3 linked regions of the Coturnix japonica genome follow. The protein of the gene in region 1 interacts with the protein of each later gene in a pairwise test. Links are inferred from orthologs where the notes say so. Each region holds a gene or a part of one and is shown in the gene's direction. Other genes may lie near its edges. The genes, in order: CEP76, PARD6B and AKAP7.

The links.
Region 2: the proteins of CEP76 (region 1) and PARD6B interact in binary tests that used the Homo sapiens proteins (3 or more experiments, as listed by UniProt). The two-hybrid records come from large-scale screens. The link is inferred for Coturnix japonica from reciprocal best matches to the Homo sapiens genes CEP76 and PARD6B.
Region 3: the proteins of CEP76 (region 1) and AKAP7 interact in a two-hybrid assay, tested with the Homo sapiens proteins (3 studies listed by BioGRID). The two-hybrid records come from large-scale screens. The link is inferred for Coturnix japonica from reciprocal best matches to the Homo sapiens genes CEP76 and AKAP7.

What each region holds. Positions count from the first base shown.
Region 1 is NC_029517.1:87,453,254-87,458,925, forward strand, and holds part of CEP76 (centrosomal protein of 76 kDa), read left to right. Parts: coding exon 1-96; intron 97-822; coding exon 823-1,008; intron 1,009-1,769; coding exon 1,770-1,867; intron 1,868-2,305; coding exon 2,306-2,434; intron 2,435-3,701; coding exon 3,702-3,893; intron 3,894-4,686; coding exon 4,687-4,853; intron 4,854-5,584; coding exon 5,585-5,672. UniProt on the Homo sapiens protein: Centrosomal protein involved in regulation of centriole duplication. Required to limit centriole duplication to once per cell cycle by preventing centriole reduplication.
Region 2 is NC_029535.1:12,090,987-12,097,196, reverse strand, and holds the start of PARD6B (partitioning defective 6 homolog beta), read left to right. Parts: upstream 1-2,135; 5' UTR 2,136-2,289; coding exon 2,290-2,355; intron 2,356-2,451; exon of another isoform or gene 2,452-2,512; intron 2,513-5,926; coding exon 5,927-6,149; intron 6,150-6,210. UniProt on the Homo sapiens protein: Adapter protein involved in asymmetrical cell division and cell polarization processes. Probably involved in formation of epithelial tight junctions.
Region 3 is NC_029518.1:52,090,565-52,096,236, reverse strand, and holds part of AKAP7 (A-kinase anchoring protein 7), read left to right. Parts: intron 1-2,823; coding exon 2,824-2,979; intron 2,980-4,040; coding exon 4,041-4,186; intron 4,187-5,672. UniProt on the Homo sapiens protein: Probably targets cAMP-dependent protein kinase (PKA) to the cellular membrane or cytoskeletal structures.

The sequences.
Region 1 (5,672 bases):
TCCGAAATCAGCGTTTCCGTTCTAAACCCGTTCCCTGTGCTTGTGAGCCAGATTTCCATGATGGTTTTTTACTTGAAGTTCACAAGGAAAGCCTAGGTAAGGAACATCATGACTTTAAAGCTGATGCTATGTTGTTTCTTTTCATAGAATTACCCAGGTTGGAAAAGACCTTGAAGATCATCAAGTCCAACCACAGCCTAACCAGAACCCTAACTCTAAAAACCCTACACTAAATCATTTTGCTTTGTTTCACTGGATTTCTTTTTGACTTTATAGTTATTCCAAAACAGGTCTGAAATTATGTAGTGTGTTTCTTTCCTATTTATTACTAAAATTTTTTGTAGGGAAATTGATGACTATTAGATTTCACTTCTAGATCCTTCTCTATTCTTACCTTGTCTTTTCTACTCTGAAGTTACTGCCATGGTCCTGGGCTTTGGGTGTTCCTTCTTGAGCAGGGGTTAGGCCAGCTGACCTCCATAGGTCCCTTCCAACCTTGAGCATTCTCGTGAAGGTGGATAGCAATTTGTCACCATGCAGAAGGAAAAACTTTACTTTGAGCTCAGTTTGCTATGAGTTGTTCGATGACTGACTTCCACGGTTATCTGTCGCCTCTATTGCCTTTCTGCCGTTGGTAGCCAGGAAATGTGGTGGCAGATGAATGTTATGAGAAGAATTCTGGAATCAATAGTGGTGTATAATAAATAGACCTGAAGCATTCCATGTTTTCAAGAGTGCAGTTATTTACCTAAAAAGTAGTATTATTTTAAGGAGGACTTGGGGTGATATTCTGGCTATTTAATGTTGCTTTATTTCTGGCAGGTGATGGAAGTAAAATGGTGGATGCAACAACTATGTTATCTGTATGTGATCCAGTGCATATGGTTCTGATCAAAACAGACACGTTTGGTGAGACAACGCTGGTAGCGTCCTATTTCTTGGAGTGGCGATCTGTCCTGGCTGCAGAGAATGGCATCACAAATGTTGCTGTTGAACTCCTGGGTGTAGGTAAGAATAACTAATGAGCATTTAACGATGAGTTAAAGTATTGCGTACTAAGTTTGATTAGAAGCTTAAAGTAGTATTTATGGTTTGGTTTGATTTCAGTTCAGCTAATCAACTCATGAATTACTTTAAGGTATCAACTCATGAATTACTTTAAGGTATCCTTAAGAAGAGTTTATATAAAGGACTAATGGTCAGATTTTTGTCTTATCAAAGTGTTAAGAATGTGTGTTCCAGATCCTGTGCAATAGTGGTCCCTGTACCTGGGAGCCTCTGTTATCTCCAGGATGTGGGTAAACTATCAAAACAAACATAAATCAACAAATGCGTCTCCAGGAAAAATACCGTGTCAGTGTTCTCAAGTGTAAAATCTAGCTTGTCCTGTGTAGCAGTTATGATCCTGCTCTAACCACAGTGATCTGAGCAGTGAGTTGTACATTCAGTAACAATGGGCACTTGTACACTGTGGCTCTTCCAGTCTATTTGTAGGTGCCTATTCTAGCCCTTACAGAACAGCATTCATCTTGTATGTTCTGGTATCACCTGGAAAGAGGCCCTTAGGGCTCAGATCCAGTTACCAGCTTCTTTAGCCAGGTTATCATTCCTTTCATTCTTGAGTAGAATATTTCAGTGAAGATCTTTGTGTTGTATGTACTTAGAGAAGTTTATGGGGTTTTATTTTTATGATGGTATGATTAAAACTATTATTTGTTCTGTGTCAAATGAATTTGAAAGGACTGATAGGAATGTATTTTGGTTCAAAGGTACAGAATCAAAGGTTTCTGTCGGTGTTTTGAACATCAGACTTGAAATGTATCCACCACTTACTAAGACTCTGTCTCCAGAAATAACAAGCACTCAGGTAAGTAATATGTAGGGGGTGAGGGATGGCCTGTTCTTTTATCAGCAGGGGGGATGCACACTGTACAGTTATTTATGTAGATAAAGGGTCGGTTACTCTACTTGAAAAGCCAGTAAATGGTGGCCCAAAGGTGTTACAGATATTATTCCACACTTAGCAAGGTGAGTAGTCCTTCTATACAGATATGCGTCACTGAAGATGAACACTACTTCAGTCAAGCTTGATATATCAGCCTACAAACAAGAAATGTAAATTGAGTTTTACATTCATTGGATTTTCACTTTAAAATACTATTCTTTAGCATTGGTTGCATGCTGTCATATTAAACTTCATTTTTCATATGCAAGGATCATGTGCTAGTATGTATATTGATTACTTTTTGTTCTTGTTTGGAATTATTATATGTGTGAATGGTTGTGTGTATTTTCCTACCTGTAGTTTACTTTGGAACGTCAGAAGACAGCAGAAAAAGAACGTTTATTTCTTGTGTATGCTAAACAGTGGTGGAGAGAATACCTGCAGATCAGGCCTACACACAACTCAAGGCTGGTAAAGATTTTTGCACAGGTTTGTATATTTTACAAATACACCAATCTGTTCTTCAAGGTGTTTTTTTTAGTCTTAGCTGCATGTTTGAAGTTTGTGTATGTAGAATTTGTATAGATTTATGATGTGGTTAGATTCCATTCAGGGCTACATGTGATACAGTATGCTGACAATGAAGTTTTCAAGACTTGAACTATGTATACTGAAGCTGAAGAGTATGTTTCATAGAGAAAGGCTGCTCCAAGCACCCCTGGTGTAGGAGGTAGAAAAGCCATTTTAGTCTTTTCCTTGAATAAGTACAAATGGCAAATGCTTAAGTGATCTATACAAACTATTGCAGACAGGTTTTATACAGTAATAAGTAGTGGAGTTACTGGATATACTGGAGCAGATCCATATAATATTTGAGCACTCTGTGGTTAATAAAGTAATCTGGCTGGTGAATGTTGCATGGTAGTTACAGATGTGAACAAATCATTGGCTAGTAAGTTACTGTGTTGTAACTTACGTCACAATCACATCAGTTGTTCCTTGGTGACTGCCCCTCAGTAGTAGGAATGGTATGGGACTATAAGGACAGGCTGAGGGAGCTGGGCTTGTTCAGCCTGGAGAAAAGAAGGCTGCAGGGTGACCTCATTGCAGCCTTTCAGTACTTAAAGGGAGCCTACAAACAGGAGGAGAGTCAAGCCTTTGAAAGGGTAGATAACAGACAGCCAAGGGGAAATGGTTTCAAGTTGAGGGAGGGAAGATTTAGGCTGGATGTCAGGGGGAAGTTCTTTGAGAGTTGTGAGGTGCTGGAACAGGCTGCCCAGAGAGGCTGCTGATGCCCCATCCCTGGAGGTGTCCAAGGCCAGGTTGGATGGGGCCCTGGGCAACCTGGTCTACTATTAAATGGCAAGGTTGGTGGCCCTGCCTGTGGCAGGAGATTTGGAGATTCTTGATCCTTGAGGTCCCTTCCAACCTGGGCCATTCTGTGATGCTTTGTGTTTATCATGCTAATATATGAATTTAACTTGTAGAGCAGCAATTTTCCTGGCACAGATGATGAAATAACTTCCGGAAGCAATCCACACCTGCTGTTTGTCTTCAGGGAAGTGAGGTCTTCTCTTCTGGCTTCACCAGCTGTGTACGGGAGTAGTGTCAGCTTCCACGTAAGGGTGTGGTGCATTCATCTCACTGCTGAACACACCTGGTGCAGCCGGAATGGAAGCTTCACTGGAAACTAACAGTAGATAATGGATTGCTTTAGGAAGTTTTAATAGTACTATTATTTCTTTACCACGTTCAGGATGAAAATGGAGTAAACCGTCCGGTATGTTCATATATCAGACCACTTCGAGCGGGCCGGTTGCTAGACACACCTAGACAAGCAGCACGATTTGTCAGTGTCCTGGGTTATGAAAGAGCTCCTGTCATCGGAGGAGGTGGTGGCAAACAAGAGCAGTGGTGCACACTTCTTGCATTCGTATGTAGAAACAAGGTATGTAAAAACAGTCTTTGCATGACAACTTTTATAGTTGGAATGAAGTTAGTCATTTAAAACAGGTTGCAAAAGGTGGACTGAATCCATTTCAGAGAACTCATAAATGCAAATAGCTTTTATAAGATCAAATAGTGGCAGATGTTAAGTATTAGACAAGAGGGCTTTGGAGCTGACTTACTTTATTCAGTGCTGTTGCTTGAATCCTTTTTTCAATGAATCCATTGGACATCATGTGTAATGGTTCCTTAAGGGGGGAAAAATAAAAGCCATCATCACAAACATCCCCTTTTCCTCCTTCAACCCAGCTTATGTTGCTGAGCGCTATGACATGTGACATGGGACATCCTTTGGGTGGTCTGGATCAGCTGTTATCCTGTTTCTGTCCTCTCAGTTCCTTGTGTACCACAGCCCTTTATGGGCAAGGCAGCATGAAGAACTGAAATATCCTTGTGTCTGTGTAAACGCTGCTCTGCAGCACCTGCAATGGTGTGCTGTCAGCACTGTTCTCATAAAAAATCCAAAATGCAGCACCATATGAGCCTCTGTGAAGAACAATAACTCCATTGGAAGTTGTAAAAGCCTGATATACTTTGATATGGTGCATATTAAAAAGAGGAATTCAAGATTCTTAAGTTTGTAACCTTGAAGTCCTGACTTCTGGTGCATGTTTTAGGTAAATAGGAGGGAAACGCGACTTGTTAGATAACAACTGGAGAAATACTGCTTTCTTTTTCTAATGTTTTTAGCTATGCCTGATAGTCAAACCAACATACAAACATTTACTGTCTAGGGTGACTGTGAAGATCATGCCAACCTTCTGTGCAGTCTTCTTCTTGGCTATGGATTGGAAGCCTTTGTGTGTGTAGGAACAAAAGCAAAAGGAATCCCTCACGCTTGGGTAATGACCTGTGGAACCGATGGAACAATTACTTTTTGGGAGAGCTTAACGGGACATAGGTGAGTAAAAAGCAAATAAGAAAACTAAGCAGTACCTATTGAGATTTGTGTAGTTCTTCTGGTGGGTTTGTGTGTGTGTGTGTGTGTGTGTGTGTGTGTGTGTTTGTGTGTGTGTGCTTGTTGGTTTTGTCTTGTTTCTTTGTCATATTCATTTCCCTGTCTTGTCATTTAATCAAATATCCAGGAGACTTTTGTCTGTGCATCTTTGCTCTGTATACTTTTGTTTTTAGGATAACTGCTTGAGCGTGAGGTGAAGTATTTCATAATGTGCTTTTCAGTGGTTTTAAGCAGGATAGTAACTTTTTTGCCTCTTGGGGCAACTGATGGTTGTGTGGAACACTGCTTTGCAACACCGGTAGGCCTGGGTTCGAATCCCCCCTGTGGCACAAGTGGTAGAAGTGCCGCTCTGCTACACAGGAGGCTCGAATCCCAGGGGTTGGACTCGATGATCTCTAAGGTCCCTTCCAACCCGCAGAGGGTTTTTCTCTAGGTATGGTAAAGGGAGGACGGTTGGACTAGATGATCTTATAGGTCCTTTCCAACCTTGTGATTTTGTATTTTATAATGTGGAAGCTGTACTAATGTGTTGTTGCAAAATGTAATTGCAATGGTAAAAAATTTAGGTTATGTTTTTAAAAGGAGAAATGATTTACTTCTGTCCTACTGAAGTACTTTGTAGCCTGCCTTAAGATACCAAGTGTGTTAATAAAAAATTGGATGTCTTTCATCAGGTACATCCACAGACCTATCAACCCCGATGACCCTCCAATAGTTGAACAGCCCAAGCCGTTGTATCCTTATCGCACGATAGGTTGTGTC
Region 2 (6,210 bases), on another chromosome or scaffold:
GCTGCATCGGTGCTGTTTGGTTAATGAACAGTGACGGCTCTATTATATTATTGTATAAACGTCTGTCTGGGTAGGCTCTGTAAGTTCACAGTGGGTTTGACTTGTCCATGAATGCGTGCAAAAAATAAACTCAGAAGAACAAGCCAACAATACACTGAACTGTCTAAATACAACGACTGCTAACCTCGTTTTATGATTTCAGCAATAAATCTATGAAATACTAAAATATTACAAACTAAACCCGGCACAGCGCCCCCTGCTGGGCACCGCCGGAACAGCCCGGGGCCACTCAGCCTGCAATTAATAATTCAATAGTAATAAATTATAATGAACTGTTTTATGAGGCGCTGTCATTCTTTTTGCGATTGGCTGCAGATATCATTTGGTAAATTAATAAATGTTCTCGCAATGGAAAAATCACAGATCCTGCCTTCGGTTCTTCAGCCATCCCTGCCACAGCACTTTGACTGGGCCCTGGGTCCACACTGAGGGCACAGACTCGTTTTGAGCAGGTCCGAAAGCAGCCGGATGGTTGGGAGCTCGGGAACAGCTCCATGCTGAGATACTGAAATGGGCTGCCCAGAGAGGGGCTGGGTGGGTGCTCCGTCCCACTCAGGGCCAGGCTGGACCACGCTCTGAGCAACCTGATCAAGCTGCAGGCGTCCCTGCTCACTGCAGGGGAGTTGCACTGGATGGCTTCAAGAGTCCTCTGCAACTCAGATGGTAACACAGTTCTATGGACCTGAAAGAGCATCCGGGACAGCAGTAGCCAGGGACTTCTCTGCAGTGAAACAGAATGTCCCCCTGATCCAGGGATTACAAAACCCAACCTGTCTTTCAACTTCACAGAAGCTGAAACTGGTTGTGCCATGAATAGTCATGATCAAGTCACAGGTTTGTAGACTCTGTGACTAAAATAGCTCTTCAAACTTGTGCTGCTCCCGGCCTCTCACTGTATCTTGATCTGAAATCAAGCTGTTTATTGCATTCCTTCCTCATACGTCAGCTCCCAGTGATGAGAGCATGCCAGTGATTAATACTCTTTATTAGGTCAGTTCCAGAGACTTGAAATGAATTTGCCCTGAGTCCTGAAGCACGTTACCACACCCACAGTGTGGAACTCCAGCCATCCTAGGAATGCAAGATAGAAAAAAATCCTTATCTGAGGTGAGACTCCAGAAATGTTCCACAGTAAAATCGGCTGCAGGCACAGATCAGCTCCAGGAAGTTCTTCCAAGGAAAACGGCAACTGACTGCTTTAAAAACCTGGCAGAGGTTTGCAAGGGGCTCTTGACTTCAATAAGCCGACTCACACGCTTTCTTCCTCCCTCTACATACTAAACTCTGTAAATGAAAAATCCTTTTTCTTCAGATTTTAGGCATGACACGGTCCCCATGTTAAGGTCTGCCGGTACCTCCCCAAGGTCACTATGTGGACGGTTACACAATAATGGTTGTTCTATCGCAGTGTAACACACACAAACGACGTCACAGAAAACCCTTCAGGCGTGTCACCAGGTTACGGACGGGGCTTAAAACAGAAAAGTCCAACAACTGCACGGCCAGGACAGGCCTAAAGAGCATGAGAGGGACAGGGAGGGAGCACGGCCTGGGCTGGGGCAGTCACACCCAGCAGGATGCAGTCAGTCATGTTTCAATGTCTCACACACATCCCGCTCCGTACAGTCTCACACATTCGGATCCAGTCATGTTTCTCTCACACCCCGCACACTCGCGGCCTTTCCTTCCCTTCCCTTTCCCGGCGCTGTCCCACTCCTCCCTCACAGATCAGCGCATCGTGCTGCCGGGCCGCGTTCCCTCGCACAGCCCCATGTTTGCACACCAGACCCGCCCGCTGCCGAGCAAAGGTCCCGCGGCTCGTCCCACCCCCGCCCCTACACAGAATCACTCCGTACTTCCTCATCTCCGTGCGGTTCCTCCCCCTCCATCTTGTAGCTCCGCCTCAACCCGGCAGGTGCTCGGTGCCGCCGTCCCGCGCTCAGCGCGCACGGCTCAGTGCGCATGCTCGCGAGCGGCAGGTGCGCGGCCCCGCCCGTGTGCGCATGCGCGGTGCGGCGCTGCCCCGTCCCGCGGTGTGAGGGCGGCAGGTGCCAGGAGCCGCCGGCCCCGCCCGGTGCCGCTGTGTCAGGGCGGCGCCGCGGTGCCAGGAGCGGCTGGAGGCGTGAGGGGCGGGGGGATCCGGGGGGATCCGGGCCGTGAGCGTCCCGCTCTGCCACCCGTGGGCGCCCGGGGCCGAGAGAAAAGAGCAGACGCCGAGCAGCCGGCGGAATGAGTCGGCCTCACCGCGGGCCTGCGGGCAGCCGGGGCCTCGGCACCATGGAGGTGAAGAGCAAGGTAAGCGAGCGGGGAGCGGGCGGCCCGGCCGGAACCGCGGGGAGCCCGGCGGGTCGGGGCTGAATCACGGACTCACTGAGTCACTGAGTCACTCACCTGCGGCAGCGCGGCCTGGGGCGGGAACCGCGCGGCGGGACTGAGCGAGCGACGGGACGGAGGAACCGGGCCCGGTGTGCGCAGCGAGCGGCGGGACGGAGCGGGGCGGGGGTGGGAGCTCGGGGGGGATCGAGGCTAAAGGCGTTCCAGGGTCGGGTCGGGGGTTGTGACGGACGCCGGGCCGTGATCGCTGCCCATCACACCGGGCTGCTCTGCGGGCAGAGTCTGCATGAGAACTTAGTGCCGGCCGAGCTCTCACGAGGCTGTATGTGTATGTGTGTATGTATGTGTATGTATGTACACGCTGTGGCTCCTCCAGCAGCCCTGCTGTCAGATCTCCGCAGGCTCCATGTGTCTATTGGCATTTCTGCATCATTTCTGCATCCATTGCCGTTGGTTTTTTCTCCTGGTTCCCGTAGTTTTGCTGGCAGATGTTCAGTGTTCTGAAACAGATCTTGGGGTTTTTTTTGGCTTACCGTGATCATATTTTGGTACTTTGTCCTTTTGCAGTTAATTACATTTACAACTGTAAATCTTAATATGCGTTAGATGTGAAATCTTAACTGGTGTGAAGCTGCTAAAGAAATGCGTTGTTGTGAAATCCTTTCCATCATCACACCAAACTACACGGCCCTGTGGGGATGTTTTCTTTCATTGGTTTAAAAGAAAAAAAGTCCTTTTGTGCCTCTTTATTTCTAAGCCGCTCGGGTCTGTTTGCTGTTCGTACTCTGCTCCTTCCTGCAATCCAAGCATCCCTTTGCAGTGTAGGAGAGGCAGCCGGGAGCTGGGGATCTTTTTCTTGTCTGTTTTTTAAACACTAGTGTGACAAGTGCTTGTACATGAAAAGCAGTGCTGCGCTTTTGGGACTAGCATGGATGATAATTACTGCTCGTTTTTAACTTAACTGTGATATGGGTGAAGTCACAATGCCAAGGAATACTTGGCTGCCATGATCCCAAATGCTGGTTAAGCACAGCTGTGACTGTGTCAGTGGAGCGTGTTGTTTGTTGTTTTAATCTATGTGCTTGTAGGATTGAAAGCAATCAGAATAACGTGTTTATAAGCAATACTTCTTGCCACAGCTCAAGCCTCCCCTGTAGTGTGCATTGCCTGATTACAAGTATGTCTAGGGATCAGCTGCGTGGTGCCTCCTTTGGCATTCTGCAGAGCAGGTCTAATGAGTTGGGGCTGTCTCTTAGTGTACTATGAAGAATGTATCGAGGCGTTCTCTGAACTACTTGTTGCTAATACATTACTTTCAAGTATCTAGATTTAATGTATCAGAGGAGTCATCTTCCTTCCGTGAAGAAGCTCCAAAAAAGAAAGAAAAGCTGTGTGGGAGGTGGAGGGGAGCATTCCTGTGCAGTGCTGTAAGATTTGAAGGCTTGCCATCAGTGTCCAACGCTGTGTTCAGGTAGTCCAACTCAGTAATCATGCACCGACTGACAAACCCATGCCTGCAAAGCCCATTGTGAGTGGGAATAGTGTTTTCCGATTCTTTGTTTTGTATGGAATGAAATCTAATATACCGATAAGCTCCAGCAAATGTATCTGTCTTATGTTCTGTTATTATTGCTTAAGACTGGTAGTGTAGCAGCGGCATGCAGCATTAGACAGGACATAAAGATGCTTCTCATAAGCGAGTCTTACTCACGTGGGTATCTCAGGTGAATTCCTGGTACATTGCCATAGCTTGTGCTGTGTTTTTCCAGCTGATTCTTCTGATTTTACGTTTCTGTGCTTCATTAAAGTTGCAAATTTTTGTTAGTGCAGAGTGGAATGTGGTGCAACGTTTGATATCAAATGGAAACATTGCATGAGATTAATATAGACAATTATTACATGAGATTAATATGGACAGGGAATTAGTTTAGCTTTTCTACTTTATCAGCTTCGTAGTACTGAGCATGTGGCAAGTTTTGTTAGAGCATAACGTCTGTGGAAATGGTGGGGGGAAAAATTAACTTCACATGCTTGGAAATGTGACCGTTCATATCCTTGCTGCAATCACACCATGTTTGCTTCAAGTTGAGAGTAAGATTGTTGGTGGCGTTCTTTTAAATTCCAGTGTTACTTAACCGTTCAAACTATGTTGTCTTTCAAAACCAAACAACTGCAGATTGATACAATGCTTGGAGAGTTTCCATAGCGCTCATACTTGAAATAGCTGCAGCAGGGTTCAGCAGGAACTCGGTCACGTTCCATCACTGACATCACACTTCAGCTGCCTCTGACGTGGAGGAAGCTCCTCCTGCAGGCTGTTGTTTGCTTTGTGTGAGTCATCTCTTCTGACTTAAAGTGACTGAAATAGGAATATTTCTAGAGTGCCCCCAGAGAATTCCATTATTTGAGAACTTTGAAGATGAGGTGTTAATAGTGTGTAGGCTGTTCTGCTGTGCCTGTTTGAGTCTGGGCGGTGTTAATGTGCTAACAATAGGGTCCTTGTCTCCTTATTTTCGTGCCTTGGTATGTGAGAATTCTAAGGCCTCTATTCTCTAGAGCTGTTTTAATCAGTGGTGAGGTAAGGGTTGCTCTGAGGCCTGGTAATTTACACCTCCCCACCTGCTGTGTGTAACACCTACCCCACCATGTGATACTGAGACTGGAACTCCTGGCAGCGTTTCATTCAGTGTGCCCTCGCCTTCTTAAAATTGAGCCAGGTAAAGGAATAGTTTGAAGTGATGTTCATTGTCCATCAGTGACAGGATTGACAAAAATGCCACCAATTGGCTGCTCTGTATTTTGTAGTGAGGAGCTTATTGTCCTTCTAATTCTTCTACAAGCTGGAATCTTTCAGAAGCAGAGGCAAATCTTCTGAATGTTCTTGAGGGGCGGCTGGTTGCTCCCTTTTATTTCCTTCCTCCAGAAAGAAGCAGAATTGATATAAGAGCATCTCGTGAAAGTTTTACTGCACGGTTTGTACTGAACATCACCAGCTATTCTTTGTATCCATTGGGTCAAAGTGGCTTTTCATTTCTGTTCAGAACAACTAGGAATATGAGCAGTTCTGTCTTGCATATGTTAACCATAGCTCTGTATTAATGCATATGTGCCATTCTAAAGCTCTCTGTGACTTCTTTGAAGAATTGCAGGTCGCCACGTGCCATAAAAAGTCGGTTGTTCTCCTTTCTGTTCTTGAGCAGCCACCATCAGTGCTGGGCATCAGTTCTCCCCCTCACCCAGAATGTCTCTTACTTCATAAATAAATGTCTGAGAATCTGCAATTATTCTGGCACTAGTTTGTCACCCTAATGCCACGTTCCTGTGTTAGTGAGTGCTTTGATGTACATGGATGGAAACAACTTGTGAAAACTTTGGGGAGGAAAAAATACCACAATGCAAATAGGAGTTTTATGCCTCTACAGAATTGCTGTTTGTAGTTCTTAGTGCACTCTTAATTGCAAAACATTCAGAATATTTTTGTGCTTCAATTGTGTGTTAGCTTTCCATGTTAATAGGATGTATTTTGTTGTAGTTTGGAGCAGAATTTCGGCGGTTCTCTTTGGAGAGGTCCAAACCCGGGAAGTTTGAGGAGTTCTATGGATTGTTGCAGCATGTGCACAAGATTCCCAACGTCGATGTTCTCGTGGGATATACAGACATTCACGGAGATCTGCTGCCTATAAATAACGATGACAATTATCATAAAGCAGTTTCCACCGCCAATCCCCTACTCAGGATTTTCATTCAGAGGAAAGGTAAGTGTGCTTGAAGTGGGTAATTACTTGTTTATAATTATACTGTTTACTCGGTATGAGG
Region 3 (5,672 bases), on another chromosome or scaffold:
CAAGCTCTCAATGAAGTACTAGATCAAGTTGTCCAGGGCCCTATCCAGTCTGTCCTTAAACACCTCCAGCGATGAGGCATCCAGACCCTCTTTAGGCAACGTGTTCCAGCACCTCACCACTGTCTGCAGGAAAAACTTCCCCCGATGTCTAATCTAAATCTCCCCTCCTTTGGTTTAAGACCATTCCCCATTGTCCTATCACTATCTACTCTTGTAAAAATCTTATTTATCTCATGTTTATAAACTCCCTTAAAATATTGGAGGGCCACAATGAGGTCTCCCCACAGCCTTCTCTTTTCTAGGCTGAACAAACTCAGTTCCTTCAGCTTATCTTCACTGAAGAGGTGCTCCAGCCCTTGGATCATCTTGTATAGACCTTATTACTCTCTACAACTATCTGAAGGGAAGTTGTAGTGAGGTGAGGGTCGGCCTCTTCTCCTATGTAACTACCAAAAGAAATAGAGAGAATGGCCTCAAGTTGCACCATGGGAGGTTCAGGATGGATATTAGGAAATGTTTCTTATCTGAAAGAGTGGTCAGGTGCTGGAACAGGCTGCTCAGTGAGGTGGTGCAGTCACTGTTCCTGGAGGTGTTCAGGAAATATGTAGAGTACTTTCAGACCTGGTTAGTGGGTGTGGTGGTTATGGGTCAATGGTTAGACTAGATGATCTTTGTGTTTCCAACCTTTATGATTCTACAATTCTCTGGGCGTGTGAAGCTTGTGCTAGTAGTAGGGGCTCACAAAGCCTAGAGAGAAAGGCCATCCATTTCCACAGCAGTGTTATATTCAGTTGTGGAATAACAGAACAGACTGGGTTGGATGGGGTTTTAAAGCCCATCCAGTTTCAACCCCAATCATTATTTGTTACTATACACGGCAAACAGTGCCTACAGTCCGGGTCTTGAGTGGAAAACTGTTGCTCCTGCAACTAAGTGTGGAGAGAGGAGGCCTGAAAAGGGAGTACAATGAGAGTGTTTTTCCCTGCTTTTGTGTTCTCTATGAGACATATGTAGCTTGTTTTGTTTTCTTCTTTTTTTTTTCCCACAGGAACAGGTGGCTCATGTTCATGAGCATCAGTAACTGCTTTATGACAGATAGATCAGTAACTGCTCTAAGACAAATACAGGGAAGGCATAGATCCCTTTTCATATATGAAATTCATGCAGTTAAGAATAAAATTTATCCTTCAGTAGTTTGGTGGTGTAAGAGTTGCTGTGGAAGCTCTTCTAGTTACATAGGTCTCAGATTATTAACATTTTGCCAGGTATTTGGAAAGGTTGCTTTAGTGACTAGGATACAAGTCTTGGATTTTGTTGGTGATTTCCTTAATGTTTAATTCAGGAAAAAGTGGGATAGAGTTTTTGATTGGGATCTTGATATGTAGGGCTGAGAAGCAGTGCATGTGTTGTTTGGGAAGGGATGTAATGTCTGTGCTCCTGCTCTGCCCACCTGCTGCTGTTCATCACATACTGTGCTTTGTGTCTATGGGGCAGAAGGAGGGCGTAATCTGCAATACACACCCCTCAGATTTAGGTGAATCCTTGTTCCGCAGCTGATGCTTCCATACTAAACTCCATTTGCTTTTAATTCTGCATTTCTGCATCTTGTTGGCAACTTTTCTGCCTTGTTTGTCAGTCTCATGGGTTTTTGTCTTGTCCTTCAGTTTGTGACCTGTTTAAAAGGAGAAAACGTTATGTTCTGTATGCTGGTGGATCACCAGCATGTAAGCTTAACTCTAAGTGTTAGGTAATAAATTTATTGTTGCTTTTAACATCTCTTTGTCATATATAGTTCTTTATTGTCTGCAGAGGGAACAAGCAGCCACTCCAGTTTGTTTATTCATATTAGCCTTTGGCATAAATGTAGGTGTCAGACCACGGCAACATAGTGATTTATGTCTTCCTACTTTAGGCTGGAGTTAGCATGTAACCAGATTCTTCTTTCGCTTATCATCCCAATAGCCCAGACTCTATACTGTTGATTTTACACATGTAGCAGAGCTTTGCATGCCACAGTAACATCATATGCACTTTTGAGGCCAGTTTTTCCCCTTGGGCCAGATTTGGACTATCTGCAGTGGTCACAAGAGAAGCTTTCAAAGTGTGTTGTCTGTCATAATGAGCTGTCCTGGGATAAACTGCAATTCTAACACAAGGCTTCTTGCACTACAGTAATCCCATTGTGGAGCTGTCCCAGGAGGATATTACTGGATGTCTCGCTATGTGTACATGTTGCTAGAGGAGATACTGATTTTGCATTTCTTAAGCTGTAGTTTAATACACATATTGCACTGTGTGGGAGATGCAGGACTAGAATAATCATCTCATTCCTGCATGATATAGTCAGCTGAGAACTCTTTGCTTTATGTGAATTTGTAGGATTCCCTTTCTGCTCCTTCATGCCTCGTTTTCAGTGTGTTTACATTGGAAATAATCTCCTTGTGTTTATCTGCACCAAATTTCACATGCCGTTACTGTTATCCAGAGTGAGCCTTACATGATATATGAAGATTTGTATTGTTTTGTAGTCAGTATAACTGTCCTTTTTGCTTCTAACTGCATTTGCTTAGAATGGATCCAAACCACAAGTTATTAAATGTAGAAGGCTGGACTCTCTTTTTATGCTATTTCACATAAAGTGTTGAAGTGTTTTTGTTGATATGTTGTCAAGGAAGAAGAGTAGCGTTCTTAATAGGGATTTATGTCACTATTTATTTGCTGAGAACTAGATAGATTTATGTTTTGCACATTGGTTATGTATAATGTCATGTAGGTGTTTATGCTGAAAACTCACACCCAGTGTGTTATTTAAATATATTACAGATGGGCTGGAAAATATGCAGCAAAAGAAGGAAATTGTTGAAGGAAATAAAAAAAGGACACGAGAGGAAGAAAAGCCATGTCCTCATGCTGATTCAGAAGATTCTCTGATGGCAGAAATGCCATTTGCCGGCATAGATACTGAAGATGAATTTGCTAGTAAGTGTATTTAAATGGACATAGTGTCACAACATAAACATACTGTGCACACAGTTCCTGATCCTGTCTGTTGGAATGCACAGGTAGGCTGGGCCTGTTGAGTACAGTCTCCCTGCAAACAGAACCAAGTCCAGAGGTTTATTAGGTTTATTGCAGAGGGTGGTGGGGTCTCCTTCTCTGGAGATATTCAAGACCCGCCTGGACGCCTACCTGTGTGACGTGGTGTAGGGAACCTGCTTTGGCAGGGGGTTGGACTTGATGATCTCTAGAGGTCCCTTCCAATCCCTACAGTTCTGTGATTCTGTGATTAGTCCTCAGTCTTGCAGACACTTGAGCATGTTAAACATTTGTTTTGTGATTCATTGAAGCAATGAGCTACAGCATAAAGATGTCTCATATACGTCTATTCACATTACTATATATGAGCTGCTGAAGCGATGGCTTTTATGAGCTGTCTTCCAGATGTGTATTCCCAGCATGTGGCTAGAAATGCACTTGTTATTAGGCAGTGGAGAGAGGCTGCAAACAAAATAAGCTGGGAGAAGAGTAATCTGTGGTACACAGAAGAACTCTCTGGGTTTGGTCCATGAACTGTAGGTTGGCCATTCCTAGTCTACCACAACCTTCTCCTTTAATAATCCTGCTTATCATCTTGTTTTATACTGTAAAATGCAGTATGTGGGAAATTGCTCTGAAGTCATGCCCATGGACATGTCAGGTATGAACACTTGCTGGCCTAGTCCACTGTAGCAACTTGGCTCAATGAAACACAGCTGTAGTTTGGAAGCCATGCATGTGTGTTAACAGCTTATAAACCCTGCCTGGATGAATAGACTATTAGTTCAAGTATGGTACTCCACTTGCGTGGCTATGTTAATGGAAGCTGGCATAGGATCCCAGTCAGACAGTTCAGTGCGTGGGCAGATCACATGCCTGGGAAAATGCTATCCAGTCATCTGACTGAAGTGATATTAAGGATTATTGGGTATGATATTAAGTGTATCTTTATTCTGATTTGTCTATGTGCTGGAAGTATTTTCTTTTTCTTTTTTTTTTTACAGTGCATACAGCCTCTGAAATAAACATGGAAAAGAAAAGGAAGAGGGCTACCGGAAAGGAAATTCCAGAAGGCAGTGAGAGAAAGAAGAAAAAGAAAAAGCAATATCAGCCAAATTATTTCATTTCTCTTCCAATTACTAATCCAGAGGTGAGATTCTTTATTACAGTACTTTGGTATAACTAGAGTTACTTCAGCAGCTGCTTGTGTTTATAAGGAGGGCAGTGTTTGAGCTTGAGCAAGCTCATTTTTCCAGGTATTTTTAGAAGAACATTAGCAGCCTATTCTGTCACTTAACTTTTTAAACTAACATCTTTGTGAATAAAATTACTCACCTGGGAAAGACTGGAGAAAGGTTATCTTTTTATTCTCTCTTATGGAATTCAAATTATTTTGATTGAAACTTAATTTCTCCCTCTGCACTGTTTCAGTGTTGCTTATTTTGTCTCACAGTCTCGTGCGGGTTGGAAGGGACCTTAGAGATCATTGAGTCCAATCCCCAGGATTCGAGCCTCCTGTGTAGCAGAGCGGCACTTCTACCACTTGCGCCACAGGGGGGATTCGAACCCGGGCCTCCGGTGTTGCAACACGGCATTCCTACCATTCAAATGGAATAAGGAAGAGAGACGTTCCTGTTAATAGGAAAACCACTGCAGGATTTCTAGCTCTCCCTATGCACAAGATTTTAAATGTGGATCCGTCGCTGTTTTAACTTTATGTTTTGAAGTTTTATAAGTTTCCCATAAAATTGATCACCTTGTTTAAATTCCAATAAGCTACTGTTTAAGTGAGATGCAATTGAAGTGGAAATGCAGCAAAGTCTTCAAAACTTATTCTCCTGCAATTAGCACGTGTTTAACCTAACAGTAACCTAGCTCCCAGGTGAATTTTAACTCATTCTGCATCCGTAATATGTGTGTTCAGTGAAAGTCAAAAATGCAGAGAACCTGCAATGCAAATAATGTAAGCTAGTTTTGGAAATGACAGTGCAGTCTTTGATTCTTCAGAAAATGCTGTGTGAAGGAGAGATGGCAGAACTCTCCCTTCTCAGGATAGTTTTAGGATAGCCCGACACAACTGCTGGTGATCTTTTATGCCATCCTGCTCTGAAATATCTTTTTGTCCTGTCTCTTCCACGATTTAACAGCAACAATTAATGTAGGAGTTATATAATCTGATAATTGAGAATTACTGCTCGCAGTTGTTACACTGAATTACTGATGGAGTGGAAAAATCTTAACTAAATGTGCTTTTTTTCTGTGTATTTGATCTTTCATTTATGGAGGTAATGCGACAAATGTATTAAATCTCAGAACATTTAGGAATTCCAAGATTCTGCTAGAAAGTTTTGTTAACACTTGCCTCAGATGTAGAGTTGTTATCAAAGTAGAAAACACATGTTGGAATTCATTTAGGCAACAGTAGCCAAAATACAGACTTAAGACATCTGGTTTCTTGATAGCTGGCAGGTAATTACTAGTAGTATTTCAGTTAGCAATCAGAGGTCTTCCTTTTGTGAGGATCTAATTTAATTCCAGTCAAGTGTTTTAGGCAGAATTGCTCTTTTTTCATATCTTATGTAGTATTTTGAGCTTTACACAAAGAACCACTTTGTAGTAAGGGATATTTCTGAAAC